Linked DNA regions of Callithrix jacchus. The protein of the gene in region 2 purifies or fractionates together with the protein of the main gene of each other region. This does not show direct contact. Links are inferred from orthologs where the notes say so. Each region holds a gene or a part of one and is shown on either strand. Other genes may lie near its edges.

Region 1 (4,517 bases), on a different chromosome or scaffold from region 2:
AGCTGAGACAGCCCCTGCTGGACACACTCAGGCACACAGTGGTCTTGGTGCAGCCAGATGGGGATCCCCCACCCAGACATGGACTCACAGACCACGGAGGGCTCTGTGTCTCCAGCCACATCCCCTCCAGGGCTCTGAAAGCTGAGGCCCAAGTGCCCCAATCCGGACTCTGTGTGTCCCACTGTGCCGTGTCCTTGAAGTGTCCTGGCCGACAGCTGGCTTCTGGGGGGACTCATTTAGCAAATTGGAATCGAGAGACAGGGAAGGGCACATCAGTGGGGAGGGGGGTATAGCTTGTACTGACTTGGGTCCCCCCACCTGGGACAAGCCCTTCTTCCTGGACAGTGTCAGCCTCAATTCCAGGTGCCCCCCACTGCTGGCCACAGCCCCTCCCTCATGCAGAGCCCTGAAGAGTGTGCTTGGGGCCACCCAGGCTGCCTTCTGCTCTTCTGCAGCTGGCCACAGTGGTGATGTGAGGTTCAGACCGTCTCTACTCCTCCCTAGCCCAGCCCAGGCAGGTGGAGCAGGCTGTGCATGCTGCCTAGGGATAACTAAGGCCCCCAGCCCCAGTTCCTGTGCAGAGCCTGCCTCACGGCCCACTGGGTAGGCCCCGAGGAATCACCCCTCACTGCTTCCATGAGCCTCCCTGGTAGCCTTTTGATCTGAGCAGGCTGGTCCCTGTGCAAGCCGTCTGCTGTCCCAGATGCTGGAGGGCCAGGTGGGTTCCATCAAATGCACCTCTTTTTCTTTCTCTAGAAGATAATTTCCCAAAGGGTGGGAAGACCTGTCTTACTTCAGTTTTGGGGGGGTCCCTATTTTGATCCCTCGAGGCTGTAACTGCAGGCCCTTCACTTGGCAACGCAGGCCTGGCCACCAGGATATACCCTGTGTTCTCCCTCCTGACTCCTCCCCTAGCCCCATCAGCAGGGTCAGATCAGAGGTGGCCCCTGGAGTGGCAGGTGCAGACACAGAGGCAGTTCTCCCTCCTGACTCCTCCCCTAGCTCCATCAGCAGGGTCAGATCAGAGATGGCCCCTGGAGGGGCAGGCGCAGACACAGAGGCATCCATTTCCCCTTGCAGCAACCTTTATTTCCAGCACTTGATCCTGCTCAGATGCTGGCAGGAGGCCCTCTGCTCAGCCTGCCAGGCTCTGCGCTGCCTCCCCGCAGGCGAAGATTCATGTACACGGTGCACAGGGGCTTGAGGTCATACTCTCCCAGCGGGAGCTGGTCCTCCATGGGCTTCCCCTCGAAGGTCAGCCAGAACAGGTCTTCCTGCACGCCCTCCTGCTGGCTCACTTGCCGCTTCAGCTGCGCCACGGTCTGTGTCAGTGCCACCTCATAGGTGCTGCTGCGGCCCTTGTCATTCCTCACCAGGATGCTCAGAGGTTCATGACAGCTGTCCACCACCAGCAGGATGGTGCTGCCGGGGCCCAGGCCCTGGCTGGCAAGGGGGACCCTGTCCTGCAGTGCCATGCCACTCGGGTAGATGGCCAGACGCTGCTGGAAGGCGTGCACACCGATCTTCTGGGTGATCTTTGCCTTCAGCTCTGACACCAACATGGAGTTGCTCAGGGGCACCTGGAACTCGTGGCCCCCCAGCATCTTCACTGTCAGGTCCCGGCCCTGCAGGAATCACACAGGCTCAGAGACTCTGCACCAGCCCCAGGCCCACCACACATGAGGCTCTGGCTGCACAAGCGCCTGTGCCCAGGGATACTGCTCCATCCACATGTTGTCAGCAGGGACCGCAGGCACAGAAGGCACTGAGGGGTCACTGCTAGAAGGTCAGCTGCCCACAGCCACCTTGTGGCCTCCCCTTACCTGCTAGGACGCCCCTCTGTGCCCCACCCCGACACTCTCCGGGGTGACCCGCTTTCAGGAGAACGTTCAGGTCACCTGGCTGACCACTCAGCACCCTGCACCCCCAGGAGACCCTGGCTGGGGAAGAGAGAGGAAAATGGACTGAACGCAGCCCCCCGCCCCCACCTGTGGCATCTGCCTTACCATGGCTGTGGGCTGTGGCACAAGCTCCCATACAGCAAAGATGAATGCGCTGCCTCTGGGCTGCCAGCTCCCGAGCCACCACCGGCCCTTTTATAAGCCTGAGCCGCACATGTCAGGGGGCGTGCCAGGGGAGCCTGAGCCTAGTGGCCAGATTCAGCTTCGGTTTCAGTTTCCTTTTCCCGAGGCAAGCCCGGGAGTGAGTAGAAGAAACAAAACAGAATGACGAAAACAGAGGGAAAAGCAGAAGCAGAGTAGGCAGGGTCTCAAGGGCACGGTCAGGGACAGGGACTCAGGACAGCGGACAGCGTCCCCACCCCTGCCCAACGCCCTGGAAACACCTGAGTATCCAGCATTCTGGGTCCTTCACGAGATGTAGTAACTCATCGTCGCATGAACGAATGATGGGCAGTTTTCATTTTCCATTTACCAGTTTGCAAGATTAGTAAACTTGGAAGTGAAACAGTGACCGTCCAAACTACCCAGAGATAACCTCACTTGGTTTAGGGAAATGTTTGCTCAGATTGGTGTTTTTTGTTGTTGTTTTTGTTTTTTTGAGACAGGGTCTCACTCTGTCCCCCAGGCTGAAGTGCAGTGGCACGATCTCAGTGCACTGCAGCCTCCACCTCCTGGGCCAAAGCGATCCTTTCACTTCAGCCTCTTAAGTAGCTGGGACCACAGGTGCACCAGCTAATTTTTTGTATTTTTAGTAGAGATGGAATCTCTCCATGTTGCCCAAGTTGGTCTTGAACTTCTGGACTCAAGTGATCCACCTGCCTCGGCCCCAAAAGTGCAGGGATGACAGGCCTGAGCCGCCACGCTCAGGCCTCATATTGTTTTTTAATAGAAGAGACATATCTTTTATTAAAAAAAAAAAAATGAATTCTGGGGCCCTACTGAGAAAGTGAAAAACAATCCACAGAATGGGAAGAAATATTTTCAAATTATTTCTCTGATGAGGGGCAGCATCCAGGGCGTACAAAGAACTCTTACAACTCAATTTTAAAAAGGCGAGTCAATTTTAAAATGGGCAAAAGACTTCAATAGACATTTCTCCAGTGACACAGAAACAGCTGCGTACCTCGGGAAGGCGGCCGTATCATTATTCATGGGGAAATGCAAATCAAAACCCCAATGAGAAGCTGATTTCGATTAGCATGACTGTAATAATGAAAATGAAGGCTCACTGAACATGTCCTCCAACATTTCAGGAGGCTGAGGAAGACATATCACCTGAGGTCAGGCGTTCCAGACCAGCCTGGCCAACATTTTTAGTAGAAACCTCATCTCTACTAAAATACAAAAATTAGCCAGGTGTGGTGGAGGGCACCTGTAATCCCAGCTACTTGGGAGGCTGAGGCAGGAGAATCTCTTGAACCCGGGAGGTGTAGATTGCAGTGAGCCAAGACTGTGCCACTGCACTCCAGCCTTGGCGACAGAGCGAGACTGTCTCAAAAACTAGTATAAAATAAAAATAAAGGACAATAACAAGCGTTGGTGAATGACTACACGGAGAAGTTGGAATCATGGCACATAACACTGCTGTTGGGAATGTAAAATAGTTTGGCCACTGTGATCCTCAAAATGTTAGACATAGAATTATTGAGTAACTCAGCATTCCACTTGCAGGCATGTGTTCAAAAGAATTGAAAACAGGTGTTCAAATACTTGCATACAAATGTTCATAGCAGCACAATTCACATTAGACAAATCTTGGAAACAGAGCAAACGTCCATCAGAGATGAATGGATAAACAAAATGTGGAATGTCCATGCAATGGAATATTATGCAGCCGTGAAAAGGACTGAAGCACTGATTCCTGCTACGATGTAAAAGAACCTCACAAACATTATGCTAAGGGAAAGGAGCCAGATACAAAGGCGGCAGGTTGTGTGATTCCACTTACTGCAGGAAAAATGCCCAGAACGGATAGACCACAGGAACAGGAAGTCAGGCCTGTTACCGGGGGCTGGGGAGGAGGGATGGGGTGATAACAGCCGTAGAGTGATGGTTGGACAATGTGATGAATAAAGGCCACTGGATTACATTCTTTAAAATGGTTAGTTTCATGTTATATGATTTTCACATCAATAAAAAGCAAAAGAGAAAAAGCCTCATTGTATGTTCACCAGTTTGTAATCTGCTTCATTCAGGAAACAATGTATCATAAACATCTGCCTAGGCCGGGTGTGGGTGGCTCACACCTGTAATCCCAGCACTTTGGGAGGCTGAGGCAGGCGGATCACTCAAGGCCAGGAGTTTGAGACCAGCCTGACCTGCATGGTGAAACCCCATCTCTACTAAAAATACAAAAAAAAAAAAAAAAAAAAAAAAGGCCGGGAGCAGTGGCTCACACCTGTAATCCCAGCACTTTGGGAGGCCCAGATGGGCAGATCACTGGAGGCCAGGAGTTCGAGACCAGATTGGCCAACATGGTGAAAACCCGTCTTTACTAAAAATGCAAAAAATTAGCTGGGTGTGGTGATGCAAGCCTGTCATCCCAGCTACTTGGTA
Region 2 (5,854 bases):
AACCAAATTTAGGAGTAGTAATTATGGAAACCTGAACATTTTATAGATCCAAGAATTCTCTCATTTTGTATTTGCTTTAAGAATATATTTCTTATTCTTAAATATACAAAACTATATTTCTGTCCTGTTACAAAGTGAAGTATAGACATTCTACTGGCTCCACATACACACACATGTATTACTTCTAAAAACTATTGTTATTCTAGAAAAATACCTTTTGAGAGTGCAAGAGAATGATAATCTCCACATGTGATCTGGATTATTTTTTTTTCTTGTAAAATGCTTTCAAACCTGATGAAAAAAATACATTTTATGTTAATCACCATAATGAAAGTAACAATATGGATTTTACAATTATTAATGGTATTTAATTAGAAATAAAGCGCAAGAAAAAACTTTAAATTTCATGCATCACATTCAGTACATCTAAAATTATTTTTTAAATACTATATGTTTTAATTAGTGGTTTAAGAAAAAATAATATGCATTACATAATTATAATAAAATGACTAAAATATTCTATGCAAACAATGATTTTATGATGCAGGAATAAATGCAAGATGAAAATGAGTTCTAATTCATAGAATCTACTAGGGAAAAGTCTCACAAATCATTTCATGATATACGTATTTTTTTCTAGGTTAAAAACTTTTATTTCTGGAAATTTAACTCATAGGATTATTGTGAGGATCATATGAGTTAACGAATGTGAAAATCCAATTTAGGGCTAGACAGACTATTTAATCAATATCTTTAAATGCCAAAACAACACATTACACTTGCCCTGGGAAACATGGATTTTACTCGTCAGTTTTGAATTTATCATTTACTTAAGATGCTACTATATAAAGCAGGGACAAGAATCAGATATGGTAACATTTTCCTACAAAAATTATTGTCTTTTATTTAAAATTAAAATAATTAATAAAATTAATAAAAGAAAAAAGTTCCCTACCTTAGATGTTTCATGCTATAGTTGTCATACTCAAATGGTTTTCCATCTGATGATAGAATCAGCATGTGGTCTGCTCCCAGGTCCATGGAATGTATTTTCATGTTTTTTCCTAACTTAATGCACTCTACAGAGCAAATTCAACCAGGAACGATGATTATTTTTATTATTACGCACTGTATTACTGATTTCATTATAATACACTTAAAAGATCTGGGAAAAATTTCAACTAGACAAGGTTTGACTTACCATGAATTTCTCTTAAGAAAATTCAGGTAGGCAAAGCAAATTAAGAATGACAATTGTCTTGACAGATTTTTTTTAATTTGAAAAAATATTGATTTATACTTTGTTTTAAATGGAACATGCCCTTAAAGTATCCAATTAAAGATCTGCTTTTAGATTCTTGTTTATTAAGTGAAGACAAACTAAATTTGAAATGACACAAATGAAAAGTTCTCTAAAAAATATTACTTTAGGACAACATAACTCATTTCAAGAACAATACATTGTGTATTCTGAAACATATTCCTTTTTCCCAAAAAGCAAATAATAGTAATAAACACCTCCCAACAGTTTCCAGTAGAAGCCAATGCCTGTATTCTTAAAAGGAAAGATTATGTTTGGGGGACTATTTTTAAAGGGGATGTGGTTGAATACACTTTTCATTAGCATTAGTGCACATTTGGTCCTTTTTAAAAGTTAAGAGATTTTAAACTGTCCTCTACTTAAAATGTACTCTTATTTAATTTGTTCACAAAAATTAAACTAGGTAGTTTTGGGCCCTTGTCTCATCTTCAGTGACAATGAAATAGAATCTATTCCTGTAAAAGTCTCACAGCACAAACCATATTACAAATGCTAGGAGAACTAAAACAGTTTGGTAATAAGAAATCGCCCAACAGACTTTCTTTTAAAGAGACTCAGCATTTCGAATCAGTTGAAAAATAGGAGGTATTAAGAAATGGTAATGGGACATTGGCTGGGCATTTGGAAAAACAAATAAATAAATCTAGCCCCCTACCTACCTCAGTACTTAAATTCCAAGCGTACAAAAAATTTTAACTTAAAAAAAAAAATCTTAAAATTACTAGAGATGAGTACTTTTTAAAAAATCTTGGGAGTGTAGGTAGCTTTCCAACCTAACATAAAATCCATAAGCCTACTTAACAGAAAAAAATCGATAATTACCCAAAAAACTGTGCACAATAAAAAATAACATTCCATGAAAGGCAAAGTGAGAAAAATATTACAACATGTACGAGGAGCAGAAGACTATTCTTATTCAGTATTCAAATATCCCTTCCATACCAATAAGTAAAAGATTTAACAACTCAATTTTCAAAAAGCCAGGCAAAGATAAACAAGCAGTTTACTGAAAAAGGAATGCAAATGCCCAGTAGAAAACCGCAAAGATGTTAGAGTTAAATGCAAAACAAACCCACAGCAAGATACCAATTTCTTCACTTCACAGACGGTAAAATTTTAGTGTGGGCATTCATTTTCCCCCACCTCGATGAGAATGTGGGAGAAGTGCAACTGAAGGTAAAATCCCATCACTGAAAACGGCTCCCAAAGTTGGAGCAGTGACTACTTTCTCAGGAGTTAGTGGGAGATGTGGGAGCGGGGGGCGGGGGGCGGGGGGCCAACTTGAACAGAAACCTGTGGAAAAGCCAGACTGGCTAAAAGGATGAAGATGCTGCCCGCAGGTTCTGCGCCAACCGCGTTGCTGAGTGCAGGATTCGCTGGTTGCCAGCATCCCGCGCACCCCGCGCCCGACAAAGACCAGGGTAAAAGAGAGCTCAGGTGCGCTGTCAGCGAAACGACCCGAGCCAGACTCGCGAGTGCGGCCTTCTGGGCTCTCTCCCCTCAGGCGCGGATCCCCGGTCGCCCGCCCCTCACGGCCCTCACACACCAGCCCCACTCACTCGGCGTCCGGAGGCCGTCGCTCCCCGGGAGCAGCTGATGAACCTGGACGCCCGCCCCGCCGCGCTCCAGGAACGCCAGGCGCCCTGACGAGCAGCAAATCTGACGCGTCGCCTCGACACTCCGGAGCAGCGCGCGGCGGAGGCCGGCGGTGCTGGGGAAGAGCCAGAGCTGCGCGCCTGGAGATTTCGCGGGCTGGGACGCGGCGGCCTGGCCCGCGACCGAGCGCCTGTCTCGCCGCGACTTTCTTCCCGACCTCCGCTCCATAGCTGCTTTGCTGGGTCCCCGGCCCAGAGGCGAGAGGACAGAACTCGACGTCCCGGGACTGGGCGCGCCCACTGCTCTGGGCGTCGCGCGACAGAGCGGGAACCGGTTGCACGCAGCTGCGTGGCGTCGGGGAACCGCAGCCTCCGCTACTGCGCCCCTGCTGTTTGGGGGCGTGGCCAGCAGCTCGATTCGGAAACGAAACAGTTTGTTGTTTTTAGGGGGCGGAATTGAAAAGGAAAAGGAAACTGGGATGAGAGTGACTGGGCAGGCGGCCAAAGGCAACAGGTCGATGGCTAGAGTAAAGGCCGTTGGCTGAACTGAGAAAGTATCACGGGCGGGCAACCACCACCTGAACTCCCGGACGGAATTGCTTTCAAGGAAACGCTGCCGTTCCGCTAGGAGGCACCCTGACACACGCATTTCCAGAGGGAGGGATAACGGAAGTCAAAGTTTGTTAAGCGTTGTGCGCCAGGCTCAAACCGGGATGAAACTAAGGAGAGCTGTGCAGTCAGCCCCCCCAAGCCCCCTCCCTGACCCCCCCCGACAGCCCGCCCCGCTATACATACACCTGGGAGCCTGGCAACAGTGATGTGCTTTAAGCCTTTTCTAGAATGTCGTATTAATGGAACCATACCTAAGTGGTGGTTTATGTCTGGCTTTTAAAACAGCACAATGCTTTGAGATTCATCCTATTGTTTCATTAGTAATTCCTTTGTGTTATTGCTGAATGGTTATCATGTGGATATGCCACAATTTATTTATCCATTCACCAATTGATGGGCCTGTCAGTTACAGGGAACAGGAGAAAACTTCCCCTTTGCCCTCTGAAGGGTCACTGGAAATAACTAACAAGTCCGGGCCTGGGCTCCTGCTTGTAACCCCAGCACTTTGTGAGGCCGAGGCAGGAGAATCTCTTCTTTGTGAAGTGTGTAATCAAATCTTTTGACCATTTATTTATTAGCTAGCTTGACTTATTATCTAAGAGGTCTTTATATATTTGAGTTCTTCGTATGTTTCATACCATATTCTTTATTAGCTATACATTTTGAAATGTTTTCTACCTATCTGTGGCTTGCCTCTTCATTTTAAGTGTCTTTTGAAACATGGAAGTTTTAAATTTTGATGTCATTTATCCATTTTTTTCTTTTACATAGTTCATACCTTTTTTGTCCTACTTAGGAGATTTTTGCTAAACTAAGATTATAACATTTCCTCATTTGTTACCTTCTAGAACTTTTAAAATTTTTTGGTCTTCATTATATTTAAAATGAATTATTCTTTATAGTATTGATAGATGCTGGAGGCAGATAAGTGAGGGTACCCAGAGAATCTCTGACCTGCCCCACAGCTTTTGTGCATCTGAGGAATACTGGGGAGGGTCTTGTCTGGGTATGCCGGCAAGGGACTGGGGCCTGCCTGCACTGGGAGAATGGGGTGCAACCACAGGGAATTCAGCCTTATAAAGCAGGGAGGAGCCTCTTTGGCTTGTGTATGGTGGCTTGGTATTCAGTCTGTGAGGTGGGAGCCTGTTGGCAGGACCATCCCCCCTTTGTTTTCTTGCTGAGAACTTTCTTTTAATAAATGTGTCAGCGTTTAGGGGAGGATGTTTACAGCTCCTGAAGTGCCAGTGGCTGTGCTACTGTGTGCTTTTTTAGTTTTGCTGTCTATAGGCACTTGTGTTAACCAGCTCAATTAGACCCTCTACCTTGTCACAAAGACAGAGGGCTTTCTGTATCCCGGTTCATGCCTTGGTGTACCAGAAGAATTGGATCACACATAGGCGTGGAGAATGAGGGCAAGGTTTTATTGAGTGGAAGTAGCTCTCAGCAGATTGGGGAGCCAGAAGGGAGATGGTTTTCTCCTAGAGCCGAGCGCCTGAGCAGCCTGGGCTCTCTTCTGATTGCCCTAGACAAACTCCACATTGTCCCACTGATCGATAGCCTGCTGGCATGCTGGTGCCTTTAGAATGGTTCTTGCCACACAGTACCTACTACAAGTAATTATTCAATGAAGTAATGAATACCTTAACATTCAGATTTTTCAAATAAATTATTCGGAAGTTTGCTAAAATAAAAACTATACAGATATTCCTAAATATAATATATATATATATAGCAAGGTCAGGGATATAGGAAATGTTGCTTTACAAAATATTGTTTTATTAAAAATATTATTTTTGGCTCACACCTGTAATCCCAGCACTTGGGAGGCAAGGCAGGAGGATTGCTCGAGCCCAGGATTTCAAGACCAGCCTGGGCAACATAGTGAGACCTTGTCTCTTAAGAAAAAAATTATTCTTGATTCATTACTTATTATTTAGCCAACCATTTTTCAATTAATTCTCTTTTTTTGAAATTGTAAATTGGCAATTTATAATTGTATACATTTATGGGGAACAAAATGATCTTATAATTTATGAATAACAATTTGGAATAATTAAGTTAAGCTAGTTCGTACATCCATCACCTCAAATACTTAACAATTTCTGTGGTGAAAACATTCGAAATTTACTCTTAGTATTTTGAAATGTACAATACTGTATTGTTAAGTATATTTACCACACTGTGCAATTGAACTCAAAAAAAAAAAAAAGAACAGGCCGGCTCATGCATCGAGGCAGGCAGATCACGAGGTCAGGAGATCAATACCATCCTGGCCAATATGATGAAACCCCGTTTCTACTAAAAATACAAAAATTAGCTGGGCATG

What was found. The genes of interacting proteins can lie anywhere in the genome.
Region 1: the proteins of HERC5 (region 2) and ISG15 purify together in Homo sapiens (affinity purification with western blotting; 3 studies listed by BioGRID, with this or other methods). This does not show direct contact. The link is inferred for Callithrix jacchus from reciprocal best matches to the Homo sapiens genes HERC5 and ISG15.

The regions. Positions count from the first base shown.
Region 1 is NC_133508.1:39,227,738-39,232,254, reverse strand, and holds ISG15 (ubiquitin-like protein ISG15), read right to left. Parts: upstream 2,072-4,517; 5' UTR 2,010-2,071; coding exon 2,007-2,009; intron 1,626-2,006; coding exon 1,110-1,625; 3' UTR 1,068-1,109; downstream 1-1,067.
Region 2 is NC_133504.1:109,218,663-109,224,516, forward strand, and holds the start of HERC5 (E3 ISG15--protein ligase HERC5), read right to left. Parts: upstream 3,299-5,854; 5' UTR 3,146-3,298; coding exon 2,881-3,145; intron 1,080-2,880; coding exon 956-1,079; intron 292-955; coding exon 215-291; intron 1-214.